Arabidopsis thaliana: one gene and its partners. The protein of the gene in region 2 purifies or fractionates together with the protein of the main gene of each other region. This does not show direct contact. Each region holds a gene or a part of one and is shown on either strand. Other genes may lie near its edges.

Evidence for each region.
Region 1: the proteins of EXL2 (region 2) and AT2G34810 fractionate together in Arabidopsis thaliana (co-fractionation; one large-scale study listed by BioGRID). This does not show direct contact.
Region 3: the proteins of EXL2 (region 2) and AT5G19110 fractionate together in Arabidopsis thaliana (co-fractionation; one large-scale study listed by BioGRID). This does not show direct contact.

What each region holds. Positions count from the first base shown.
Region 1 is NC_003071.7:14,683,316-14,687,784, reverse strand, and holds AT2G34810 (FAD-binding Berberine family protein), read right to left. Parts: upstream 2,616-4,469; 5' UTR 2,494-2,615; coding exon 871-2,493; 3' UTR 569-870; downstream 1-568.
Region 2 is NC_003076.8:25,701,657-25,705,924, reverse strand, and holds EXL2 (EXORDIUM like 2), read right to left. Parts: upstream 2,277-4,268; 5' UTR 1,946-2,276; coding exon 1,028-1,945; 3' UTR 586-1,027; downstream 1-585. UniProt on the Arabidopsis thaliana protein: May play a role in a brassinosteroid-dependent regulation of growth and development.
Region 3 is NC_003076.8:6,410,910-6,414,941, forward strand, and holds AT5G19110 (Eukaryotic aspartyl protease family protein), read right to left. Parts: upstream 2,403-4,032; 5' UTR 2,370-2,402; coding exon 1,407-2,369; intron 1,174-1,406; coding exon 811-1,173; 3' UTR 534-810; downstream 1-533. Other genes in the region: AT5G19120 (Eukaryotic aspartyl protease family protein), read left to right, coding at 3,676-4,032.

The DNA of each region.
Region 1 (4,469 bases), on a different chromosome or scaffold from region 2:
CCCACGTGTAAAATATTGAACTAACAATTATAACTAACCCTATCCCAAAATGTCGGACCAGTTTGGACCGATCGACCAGTCGAAAAGTCTATATCATATAGTTAAAACTGTGACCTCATTACAATTATTGGAAGCAACTCGACCATGTCCTGTTCAAGCATTTAATATATAAATCCTATCACGTGTTCATCTGTGACTCTGCGCCAAGATTTCTGAAAAACACACTTTTTGCAATGGACCCAATGATTTTGTTCATCGCTCATCGGTCATACTGACATACTATGTTTTTGACAAAAAAAAACAAAAGTTGCATAGATTCATGCAAAAATTATTAGGCTTCTTTGCTAGATAACTAAATTAGCGGTAAACTTGACCCCAATTGTAAATAAAATAATATTAGGTTATGATTTAGAAACATATAGTGATATCATATAATATAGTTTGTCATCGGATAAATTAGTACATGATATTTGTTTAAAAAGACGCGTAAAATCTGGTTGATTTTTTATTATGAAATTTATTTAAGATTTTGCAATCAGTATTCTTTGCAAATTAAAGACCATATATTGTTCATTTATGCTATAACTAAAACTAATCATATATTGTTGATTATAATCAATGAATTCTCTTAGAGATATACAACTCCGATCCATTTATTATTAAAAATTTTAGCACATAACTTCTCTTGGAGATTGAAGTAAACCATTATTTAACACAAAATTATCAACTGCCCATGCCAGAACAACTAAGGAACATATATACCCAATAGATTCATTGGATATGATCCCAAATTTCAACTTTTAATAACTTAATAGTATACTCCTTCCCACACAACAATACAATCAATTCAAACACTCACCAATCACCAAACTAAGCAAGAACCGGAATCCCTTGCTGAGACCGGAAAAAATTAGTCCGGTCGAACCGGGCTTTAATCTTAACCAATCTCAAATAATTCCCTTTGAAATAACTATCCCCATAAACCTTAGCTCCTTCATACGTCGCATTATACCCCGGCGTAGTAATTCCGATATCGACATCTCTATAATTAAAGAAAGCTTCTCTCGGATTCTTGGAAACAAACGGAGCCATAGCTTCTTTAAAACTTCTTGCAATCGCCAAGAACTTCTCTTCAAGCTCATCTCCAGGTCTATACCAATTCATGAAATGCTCAATCATGAAAACATTACCACCTCTATGCACAAACGCCGTCGCATCAGACGCTATCTCAGCCATTTTCCCTCCCCATGGATTCCATTGCATCCAAACTCGTCGTGGAAGTGGCGAATGATCAATCATTGTTTGAAAAATCTTTGCAAGACCCTGTTTTGAGATTGGTGCTTGAACAAAATCTGAAGTACGTTTCCAGTAGTATTCGTTGGTTGATACTCTTTTGAGAAGTAACTCTATCGGTGCTTTTTCTGGATAATTCGCCCAGAAAACACTAGATTCGATCCATTTCTTGACCATACAATCTTCTTTCGTTAAATGTAGCTCAGGGAAACTCTGTTTCGTTATGTTTAAAAGTCTCTCAGGTAAACCAAGAAACATTCCGATGAAGGAGACTTTAATCGTCTTACCTTTTGAGATTTTCCGGTTTATTGGTTTAATCTCTAACCGGATAAACAAATCTCTGTCGATAACCGGAGCTACTTGTTGCCATTTATGAACTAAATCAACGGCTCCTTCTCTCACCGTTCTTTCTAGTTTAAAAACTGTGACTTTCTCCGGAACCCTAACGAGTTTTATCTTCCAGGCAAGAATGACTCCGTAGCTTCCGCCGCCTCCGCCGCGAATAGCCCAAAACACGTCTTCTCCCATAGCTTGACGGTTACGGTACACTTTACCGTTGGCGTCCATGATTTGAGCGTCGATTATATGATCAATGGATAAACCGTATTTTCTCATGAGGTTACCGAATCCTCCGCCGCTGAAATGTCCTCCGGCGCCGACTTTAGGACAAACTCCGGCGGGAAAAGCGTGGACTTTGCTTTTACTTGCAATGTTATAGTAAAGCTGACCTAGTGAAGCTCCGGATTGGATCCAAACGGTTTCGTCTTTCATGTTGATATCGATTTTGTTGAAGTTGTACATGTCTAAGATTACGAAAGGTACCGGAGAAGTGTAGGAGAAGCCTTCGTAGTCGTGGCCTCCGCTTCGGATTCTTAGCTCGAGGTTTAGGAGTTTGCAGCAAGAGATTGTTGCTCTTATGTGAGTTTCGGTGACGGCGGCGACGATAACTTCTGGTTTTCTTGTGGAGACAGAAGCGAACCGGAGGTTTCTGACGCCGTTCATTAGGTTTGTTGAGAAAGATGAGTTTGTTGGGATCACGGCGGTTCTTGAGTTGGGACTGCCGTGGTCGGATGGTTGAGTGTCGAGGCATCGGAGAAAATGCTCCGGTATAGATAATGACGGTGGTGATGAGTTGACTTGTTGAATTATGAGATAGATAATAATTATAAGAAACGTTAATGGTCGTGACCAAAACTTCATTTTCGTTTTGTTATTTGTGATTGGTTTTTGAATAATGAAATAGCTTTGTTGGGTTTGTGTGTGTATTTATAGCCAATAGAGTAGTATAGTCTTTGTATTTAATTTTCCAGGGAATATTCGGCGATATATATATATATATATATATCACGATAATATTCAATTCAATTTGAAGTTTCTATAGATATTAGTGTAGTTTTCTTATTTTGTTGTTTATATCCGCTTGTATTTTGTATAGTATGAGTAAAAGTATGCAAATTGGATATAAGTTCCGTAGAAGATATTGGTTACTTTGACATATTTAAAAAGTAACAGTAAGAGTTACTTTAGTTTAAGATTTGTCGACGATAGGATGCCAGAATTCCACGACCTGTCAGTCACCTCACCAATGATCAACTAGGATATGATTTGATTAATGTTTTTTGGTGAATTTTTTTTTTATAGGTAAAACATAATTAACAAAACGGACTTTAATTGTTTTTATATGTAAAACATAATCTACTAAACGGACTTTATTTGTTTATTATCAAATTAAATAGAGTAGTATGTGTTTCTTTCTTTTTTTGGGACCCTTGGTAGTTAATTGTTGCATGTGGCGTGATTAAATTAGGTCTTAGAGCAAATCCAAGGCGATCAAATACAGAAGAGCTACGTAAGAAGGTCAACACGTGTCGTTATGGATAAGTTGATGAAAAATACGTACCTGCAATAAAATTGTCCACATGAATTTCTTATCACACGAGGACTTTTGATCGGCGAGGACGGTGAGTGTAGTTATGATTCTCGTGAAGGCAAAGATAAAAAAGACAAGTGTTGTTTTAATCAGTGAATCAAAATCAACCAAATAGGCTTCTTTTCTCTTTACTCTAAACTCTTATCTGTAAAAGATTCCCTTTTCTGTTATCTCCAAAAGTCATACAATAAAAGAGATGGTCTTATAGCATTAACATATCTGCATATGTATAATGTAGTGGTCGTGGATCAATTTGTGCTTACGAATCCAATTATCCAATAGAGTTCCCACAAGATTCAGAAATTTGTTAAAAGAAAGACCAGTTCATTTTTATTTTTGTTAAAGATCGAAAGACCAGTTCATCTGTTTATAAGTTATAGTTTCAAAATAAGGTTTAATTATGAGGTCACATGCATATTATGAAACTAAACATATATATCTCTAGCTAGTCTAGCTATTTTGTTTTCAAGTTTATTGTGAAGTGTTTAGACCAAAATGGTAATGTTTCCCCTCCGGGCTACTACAAACCATTATTCTCGAAATTTTCCTTTGCTCAAAATTGAAGTACTTAAAGAGTTCTTTCTTGTTTTGTTATAGTACTTATTTGTCTGAATATAGCGTTCATCCATTTTGTACAACTGCACAGTATATAATATTTGGCGTCGGTTACCCACCGCTTCGACCATAGTGGATTTGGATCCACCTAACAAATATGTTAGAGCATCCTTGACATACCTCAGTATTTAGTATTATCTAAACGTAATTAGTTTTATCCTAGTCTCTCTTATATATGTGTAATTCTTTGAATACACCATGCATGAATATCACGTTCTAATAATTTATATAGGCTCCCAACATCATGAGCTTAATTCAAGTTTAGGATCGGAAAACAAATCAAAACTAAACTAGTTTGAAGCTTAGTATATATATGATTGGAGATTTGCAAAACTACCCATTTTTTACTATTTTTTTGCAACAATACCCTTTTATGTTTTCCATTTTTAAAAGTACCCTTTCCCTTGAACAAAATGACCAAATTACCCTCATCTAATAGAAACATGTAATTGGAAACTGAACTTTTCCCGCCAATTTTTTGGCGCCAAAATTTTTATTTTCCGCCAAAAAAAAAATTTCCGCCAAACTTTTTTCCCGCCAAAAAAAACAATTCCTGCCAAAAACTTTTTCGTAACAATTTTCCTCAGCTAAAAAAATGATTTTAAAAATCTTTGTAAATATTTTTTGGCGG
Region 2 (4,268 bases):
GCCGAAAGTCCGGATCCACTACAACTTAATCAGGTTTATTATTATACAGAATGCATGATAAATTATGTCATGATCAAAATCAGTATATATAAGCTACATACTGATAAATAAAATAAAAGGCATATAAATGATTGATTGAATCTAGATGAGCCTTTTCGATACTTAAATGTTTCAAAGTTTTCTTTGGCATAAAGAACGGAGGCAAGGGAGAAGAACTTCTTCACCAACCCCACTGACCATTTTCAGAAAATACTTAATACCTAAATTACTAAAATTTGTAGGAATTTCGGTGATTAAATTCACTAGATTACTTTTTCACCTGACAATAATAAATATTACCCCCATTTTGAGGTATTTTGATTGCTTTAAGAATTCGGAAGTTTCCAAATTTGAATGTTTAGTTATTTGTTGTTACCTAACAAATAAAGATAGATTTGTTTAGTTCAAAGAGAACAAACTTTAGTCGCCATTAAAACAGTTAAGGATAGATTTGTAGTTACAGATAACATATTATCATGCATAAAAAAATTCAAAAGTTACTAATAATATGAAACGAGTACTTACAAAGCAATCAATTTGGTCTCCTAGGCCCCAACACATCTTCCTTTCTTTAGTTATCAATTTTATTACAAAATTAAATACAACAAATAACATTATTATCCTCTATACCCACTAACATTTTTTAAAAAGGTCAGATACCTTTAAATAAATTAATTAGTACTAATACAAGCTTTGATCATTCTTGCTGCAAAACCGAATGCATTATTAAATTTGATAAAGTAGAAACAAAATGATTTTTTATTATTTTATATGCATTCTTCACATTTCCGAGTACAGTTTTTACACGTCATTACAAAACGACAAAAAGCAAAGAGAGAGCCCTATCCACAATCCAAACCCGAGACCCAAACCCGAAAGATTTTTTTATACACACGCTCGCGTGCAACTTGATTTTGACTACACATGCCGTCTAGATCTCGTCATCGCTCTCACTACTATGCCACGTGTCTTACTCACATCCCTTGGATCAAACCAGAGTCTTGCACGTCGAACTCTGCGGATCCCACATCGCCGGCAATAGATATTTCCTACCGGCGAGTCCACGAGCGTTGTAACTAGACCCGGTTGTTTTGTCAACAAGTACCCGACCCGCGTAACCCGGATAAGAACCTGACCCGAATATACCAGGACAAGCAGACACAGCTTCAAGCGGTGCAGTTGGTGGGCCTTGGTAATATCCGTTATTAAACGGATTCGTCACGGTGTTAGCTAGAAGTGTGGCAAGGTTTATAATCATTCCGTCAACTCCAACGTCACCGTTAGGCGCTACTAACGGCGGCGTTTGTGGTCCGTAAATCGGCTGGTGAAACGGCCACGCGCAATATCCAGGGCACTGCGTCTCGGAGTTCCCGACCCATACGTAAGCCGCGCCGTTAGCTGCGCGACGGGGATTCGAACCGGAGGATCCGTGAGTCCCGCACCGGCTCATACAGAATCTTTCGACGGTAACATCTTTCGCCGTTAGAACGACGGTTATGGAACGGAGACCGCCGTTAAGTTTGGTGGATAAAGCACGGAGGTAAGGATTTTTGAGAGATTTTCCGAGAGGATAGTTCTCGAGTAGAAGCTGTTTCCCGACGACGAGTGTTGAAGAGCCACCTTTGTATTTCTCCGTCGTCTTCCACCACGAAGCAACGGAAGGAACTGCGGCGGAAGATGCAACGTCTTTGGAGTTTAGCGAGTGGATGAAATCGACGATTACGGACCGTTGGATCGGTGTGAATTTCCCGTACCATACGAGATTGACTGTGATGTTACCTTTCAACAGAACTCCGTTGTGGTATTTCATAACAAGCGGCTGCTCCTCGACCAACGCGGCGGCGGAGAAACCAGCGGTGGCGAAAAAGAGAGTGAGGAAGATGGCAAAACGGTAATTAGAAGCCATTGAGAAGGGTAGTTATATCAGATTGAAGAGATATAGGAGAGGTTTTGATTTGGGGTTTATAAAGATATACAGAGGTATTTATACCAGAGATGTTGTTTTGAAACCGAGAGAGGAGTGTGACAGCTGTAGTGGCTAAGGTGTCAATATCAAAGATTGCCACGTGGAGAGATGTGAGTGGGTAGGGAAGGGTGTTTGACAGCCTGTAAGGTTCTTATAGTGTGACGTGGTTTAAGTCTTCATAACGTGTATTAAATTTAAGTGATGCTTAGCCGATAAATTTGTTATCAAACAAAGAAAATAAAATTAGTGTAAGATATTTTGCCATGCAGAGAGACAGATCCATTTGTAAAAGAAGATTAATAAGTGAAAAAAGAAACTTTAAAAGTAGTGTTTAGTAAGATAGCTTTATTCTCTGAATGCAGTAGTTTTCTTTTAATCTTTGAAAGTCTATTAATACAAACCGAGTAAGTTTAAATGCAAAACCCACTTTAAATTTTAATGCAAGAAATTGATTATGAAATTCAGCTAATAGCTACTAGTATTAAAATGTAGTTATTAGATCAACTGGTTTTTTAAAGAAATTGGTTGTAGTTGTTTTGGTTTTGAATACCAAGATATACATTGATTCAACACATATATTATCAGAAACCAGTTTGATTTGACTATATATTTTGCCATTGTTTCAATTACACATATCTTTCCCTTGTTTCAATATAAACATAAATCTCATCTACTCTTATATATTGCCATTCATGATTAACCATAGACTTATATACTCTTTATAAAGATCTGTATTAGTTGAGTAACTATTTTTCCGTCTAGCATATAAACACATCCTATACACATTTTTATTTTCAGTCACCTGCCAACCATGAAATTTTAATATCACTTTACACTATGCCCAAAAAAAACAAAAAAAACGTCGTCACTTTAACTCGTTCTCTGACTCCGCCTCGCAATCTCACATCATGAGGCATGGTATTGGACATGCTCTATACGCAAATACATTGAGCAGTAATTGTTTGACCATATAATAGAAGAAAAGTCCATTACTCGTTCTAATAATACGGTTCTGATACCAAAAAAAAGAATTCTATATATTAAGAAATGAATTAAAGAGATTTGGGATTATTTAGGGAAGGTTCCTTCCTTTCCTTCCATAGAGGCGCCACTGATTTTAAGAAAGGTACACAGAGAGGTTGATGATACCGTGTGTGTGCCATAATCAACTTTACTTGGGGGAGGTCCCTTTAGGTCTCCGTGGGGACCACAGATTCATACGTATTTTACTCTAGAACAGTGTGTGTATTTATGTATAGTTATATACTTATAGCTTAAGGTGTATGTATATAAATATACGGGTGCACTCGAGTAGTTAGTTCAGTCGTGTAGTAAGCAAGATACGCCTCGACGTAGCGTACGAACCACGCTCTTACAGTCCATTATTGCCTTTTACATCTTCAGGGTCCACTCTTGCTTTATTTTGAAAAACTCTTTTTGGTTTGATTTAACAAAAAAGTTATACGAAAAGTATATATTCCACACTAAGAAAAAAAAACACGTTTTATTTTGTATTACCATCTTTTTTGGCATAAAGAAGATTTTTATGTTTTCTTCTATAGTGGAGGAGCTCACATAACTAAAAATAAAAATAAAAAAAATAGAAAATCAAACGAGGGTATGTGATGTGAGGCCCATATACAAGTACTGTTTATTAAAACTTAAAAGAAGGATAAGTCACGTGTCAGACGTACTCCGTAGTAATAGCATAATAGGATTCGTAGTAATCCACTTTAGCTCTCTCTCTGCCTCTACAAAATATATCTTCTCACGTGAAATTTTTCTACTCTAGTTATGTGATAAATGAATAGCAAAAGTTACAATATTGTTACTTGGATGAGTTTACTTTGAAGAGTGACACATGAGTTTACTTTGTCGTGTATATACTTGGATGGATGCACCGGTCACTTTTGGTAGGATAGAACCACACACTTTGATCATCATTTAGCTTGGCTCTTGATTCTTTAAAAATATAATTGCGCTTTGAACGTAAAAACAATTTCGTATAATTAGGTCGAGTAAAAACCTTATATATCGTTATACTTGACTTGTTAACATTTGAAACACACAATATTGAGTTCGAGCGTCGGGGTTAACTATGCGTACGTCGAATTGAAAAAAAAAAGAAGAAGTAATTTTCGATTTTAGGAACATCGCCAATGGTGGACTTAGCTTACGATAAACTTGCTCTAAAAAGAATGTCCACTTTATATTAATGATTAGTTTAGTCGAATGATTTAGTGAATACAGTATCATTTTATAT
Region 3 (4,032 bases), about 19 Mb from region 2:
TCCAAATTGGTTCTCAAAGAGTTCTTACCACATTCCATGAGACACCCTTGTAGCTCTTTCACCAGATAGCATATTGGATCTTAAATAATTTCAACTAATTAGTATCAAAACTACTATCTCCATTAATTTCTGTCGGAAATCATCGGAGAAATTAAGGGCATACAAGTCCATATTTTTCCTTCTTTGAGACTATCATGAACGTGTTGTTGTGACAAGTATATGTCTTCTTCTTTATTTACTTTAAAAATTCCTAAAAAGGTGAATTTGCATCAATCACTTAAATTCGTAATTTTATTACCATTATTTTCTGAAATAATTTAACCTTTCTATCATTTGAACAATTGATGCTAGTTTTTATTTTGTATCTTTTTTCAATGATGCAAATTAAGATAGATTAGTATCAATTTAATTTAGTTGATGTCAAATAATTAGTTATGGCATTACTTATTGTAATTGACGTTAAATCAAATTTTGTATCTGTTATAAATAAGTAACTCAAATTAACATCATTTATTTTTGATATAATTTATTTTATGCAATACATTTTTTGTAGTAACTTTTGAATTTCAAATCTAAATTGCAATTTCTAATAAGAAATACAGAATACTTTAGATAATTATTAATGTGCAAAATCCTCAGACAATATTTTTTATCAAAACAAGCGAATATCAAATTTGAATAAAATAACATAGACGATATTTATGAGAAACGGGTGATAATTTCTTAAAATTTCGATTAGAACACATGTGTCGCTGAAAACGTGTCATACAAGACCAAAAACTGTGATACTATCATGAGTGACTGATGATTCTATTTTTGGGAAGGCCAAGTGGAGCAGCTTGTGTTATGGAGCAAGAGTGACTCACTAAAAGCGAGAACCGTCCCGCTGAAATCGAACTCGAGCATATGATCTTGAAGCTGATGTGTCCCAATCACCATCAAATCCTTCGGTGTCTTTCCACCGTCGATAAACGCCAAACACATCACCGTTTCCTTCACTTTCACCACCGTATTCGCACCGTAGAACCCCCACTTTACCTCCCCTATCCTCCCCGGCAGACCAATCTCTATCACGGGCACGTTAGGCCCCGCCGTCAAATTCTTTCCAGCGGTGCGTGAATCAAAACAATGTTTAAACGGCGCCACCGATGGAACCTTAGCTATTCCCATAGCCTGTATATATAGTTCACACCAAAACAAACAAGACAGAAAAGAGGTTATATCAGCTTATCTATATACAACAAAAAAATAACATTAGCAACGTTATAATTTAAAGGAACACATTTCTAATAATCGTTTAATAAGATATTTTATTTTAAAAATCTCAAATCATGGTTCACTCCACAGGAACTCCAATAAAGAGATAAGAAATTTTATACATGAATAATATATTTTGTTTTGAATACCTTAGCCTTGAGTGTAAAAGACTGAGCAAGAGCATTGTAGATATCGGTTTGAAGTACGGTGTAGTGAACCACCGTACTGAGTTTGGCTCCGCCGGTTAGCAAATCAGGGTTCAACTTCAAAGCAGTTCCACCAACGTAGATAGATTTTACAGTGATTAGATAATCTCCTGAGTCAGTGCCTTTAATGGGAGTTAAAGTCCTTGGAATCGGATTATCGCTACTATTGAATGGTGGGATAAAGTAGTGAATGCCGGCGATATAGAAATGACCGGTACCGGAAGAAGGCAAGCAGAGAGAGAATTTAGGGATGACGTTAAACGCTGACGTCACTTGTTTCGTGAACGACGAAGATCCGGGAGAAAGAGCCAGAACTCCGTCGACTGGAGGAGGAAGGCCTTGGAGGGCTTTCTCACCGGCGCATGAGAATGTGAAGTGGCGGACGGAGACTTGAGAGAGGAACTTGCCGCCGTCTGTGGTGTAGAGGGAAGCTCTGTCTTGGACGACACGGCCGGTTACAACGGGGTTTTGTCCGAGTGGGTTTGGTTGCTTGTAAAGACAAGATTTGCCAGCGCATCCATTACCGGGGATAGACTTGCATGTGGAGCTCTGGCAAGTGACTAGGCGGAGAGATGATAAAGATTTAAGTTTGCGGCAGTCGAGCCACGTGAGGTTTGTTCCGAGGTCGAGGAGGAGGTTTACAGGAGATTTTGCGGCGGATCCGACGTTGAAAGTGGTGTAGAATAGATTGGTGGGTTCGTGCTTGGTGATCGGAAGAAGGTATTGAGAGTTTGATTTCAGAGCTATGGCTGCGAAAATGGAAAGGAAGACTAGTAGGCGCGTGAGGCTACTACCCATCTCTATTATATTCAGGTTATAATTTTTTTTGGTAAATGAAATGATGAATGTGATTGTTTGTGATGGAGATGGACTACGATGTATGTTATTTATAGATGTAAAATACATTTTGGATCTAAGAATTAAAATGGTGATTAGTACATTTTTTAACACAAAAGTGATGGTATTCTTGAATGTTTGAGATTCGCGTTGAGATTTGTTTTCCTAAAAGTTGAATTACGCGGAATCTTAAAAAATGAGAGTATTTTTGCATGTGTTACACATGACAACAATTAATTATATGAAAAAATGAAGATTAGTCGGTGCATCTGAAGTCGTATAATGTTATGCAAAATGAGGTCTGATCAAGTATACTCGCGTGGTGGGTATATGTCACAATTCATATTCTTTTCTTTTCAAATAGTTTTCGAGTTCTTCTTTATGCATGATCTTAATCCTTAATATAGCAGCAATACATACTAGAAAGTCTTGAAAGATCTTATAATTTAAATCAAATCATTTGTATTTTCAATTTTATAGGAATAGAAACGATTTTCGCTAAAATAATCCATTAACGACTCTATTTTTTCATCGACAAGGACTTAATTTACAATTTTACATAACGAATCCAAACATATTGGGCCATATTGCCAGGCCCACGTATAAATGAGCTCAATATTAATCTTCATAACACCACATTGCTTATATTGCAACAATTAATTTTTATTTGAAAACAATGGAGAAAGATGGGTCGGTGTATCTTAGTATGCTAGTTTAAGTATCATTTAACATTAATTGGTACGTAATGTATGCAAAATGAGTGTTGAATTCTTTTATACCTGATCATAAAAAGTCTTGCAGGATCGTAAAGTTCATATGCTGTATGAAGAAAAATGATTTTTCATTCAAATAAACCATTAACGGCTCTCGTTATTTCGTTATTAAAGACCGTTGATTTGTTTTATATATAACGCCATGCAAACCATTGGGCCATATAAGTTTCTGAAGACGCCCATATATAAACGAGCCCAATCTTAATTTCATAATACATGTTAACATCACAAAATTTACAAGTACCAAGCCAACTACTCCAACTGGCATAGGGTATAAACTTTATGGATATTCCTATAAAACATCCTTTCACACGTGCCAAAAATCATCAAATCGTCTCCTTTTTCTTTTGAGCTTTTAATAAAATGGATAAACATTGACCAAAACAAAATAAAAAGAAAAGAAAAAGTCCCCACCAAAGAGCGAAACGACACAACAAGTCTACTCAGCACTTACCTTAAAATGAACCAATCCTTATCGTTTCAGTTTTTTCACATTCACAATAAACCAGCGTCGGCCCACCGCATCCCAAACCATAACGCTTAATCCTTAAAAACCGTCCAGATCCATTTCCTTCCTCTAAAACTCATCACACACACTTCTAATGGCTTCTTCTTCTTGTTTGAATCTCTTCTTCTTCTCTTTTCTCTCCGCTCTAATCATTTCTAAATCTCAGATCTCTGATTCCGTTAACGGGGTCGTTTTCCCTGTTGTTAAAGACCTTCCAACCGGTCAATACCTCGCACAGATTCGACTCGGTGACTCACCGGATCCAGTCAAGCTCGTAGTCGATCTGGCCGGCTCAATTCTCTGGTTTGATTGTTCCTCAAGACATGTTTCCTCGTCAAGGAACCTAATATCCGGTAGCTCTAGCGGCTGCTTAAAGGCAAAAGTTGGAAATGAACGAGTATCATCATCATCATCATCGCGTAAAGACCAAAACGCCGATTGCGAATTACTT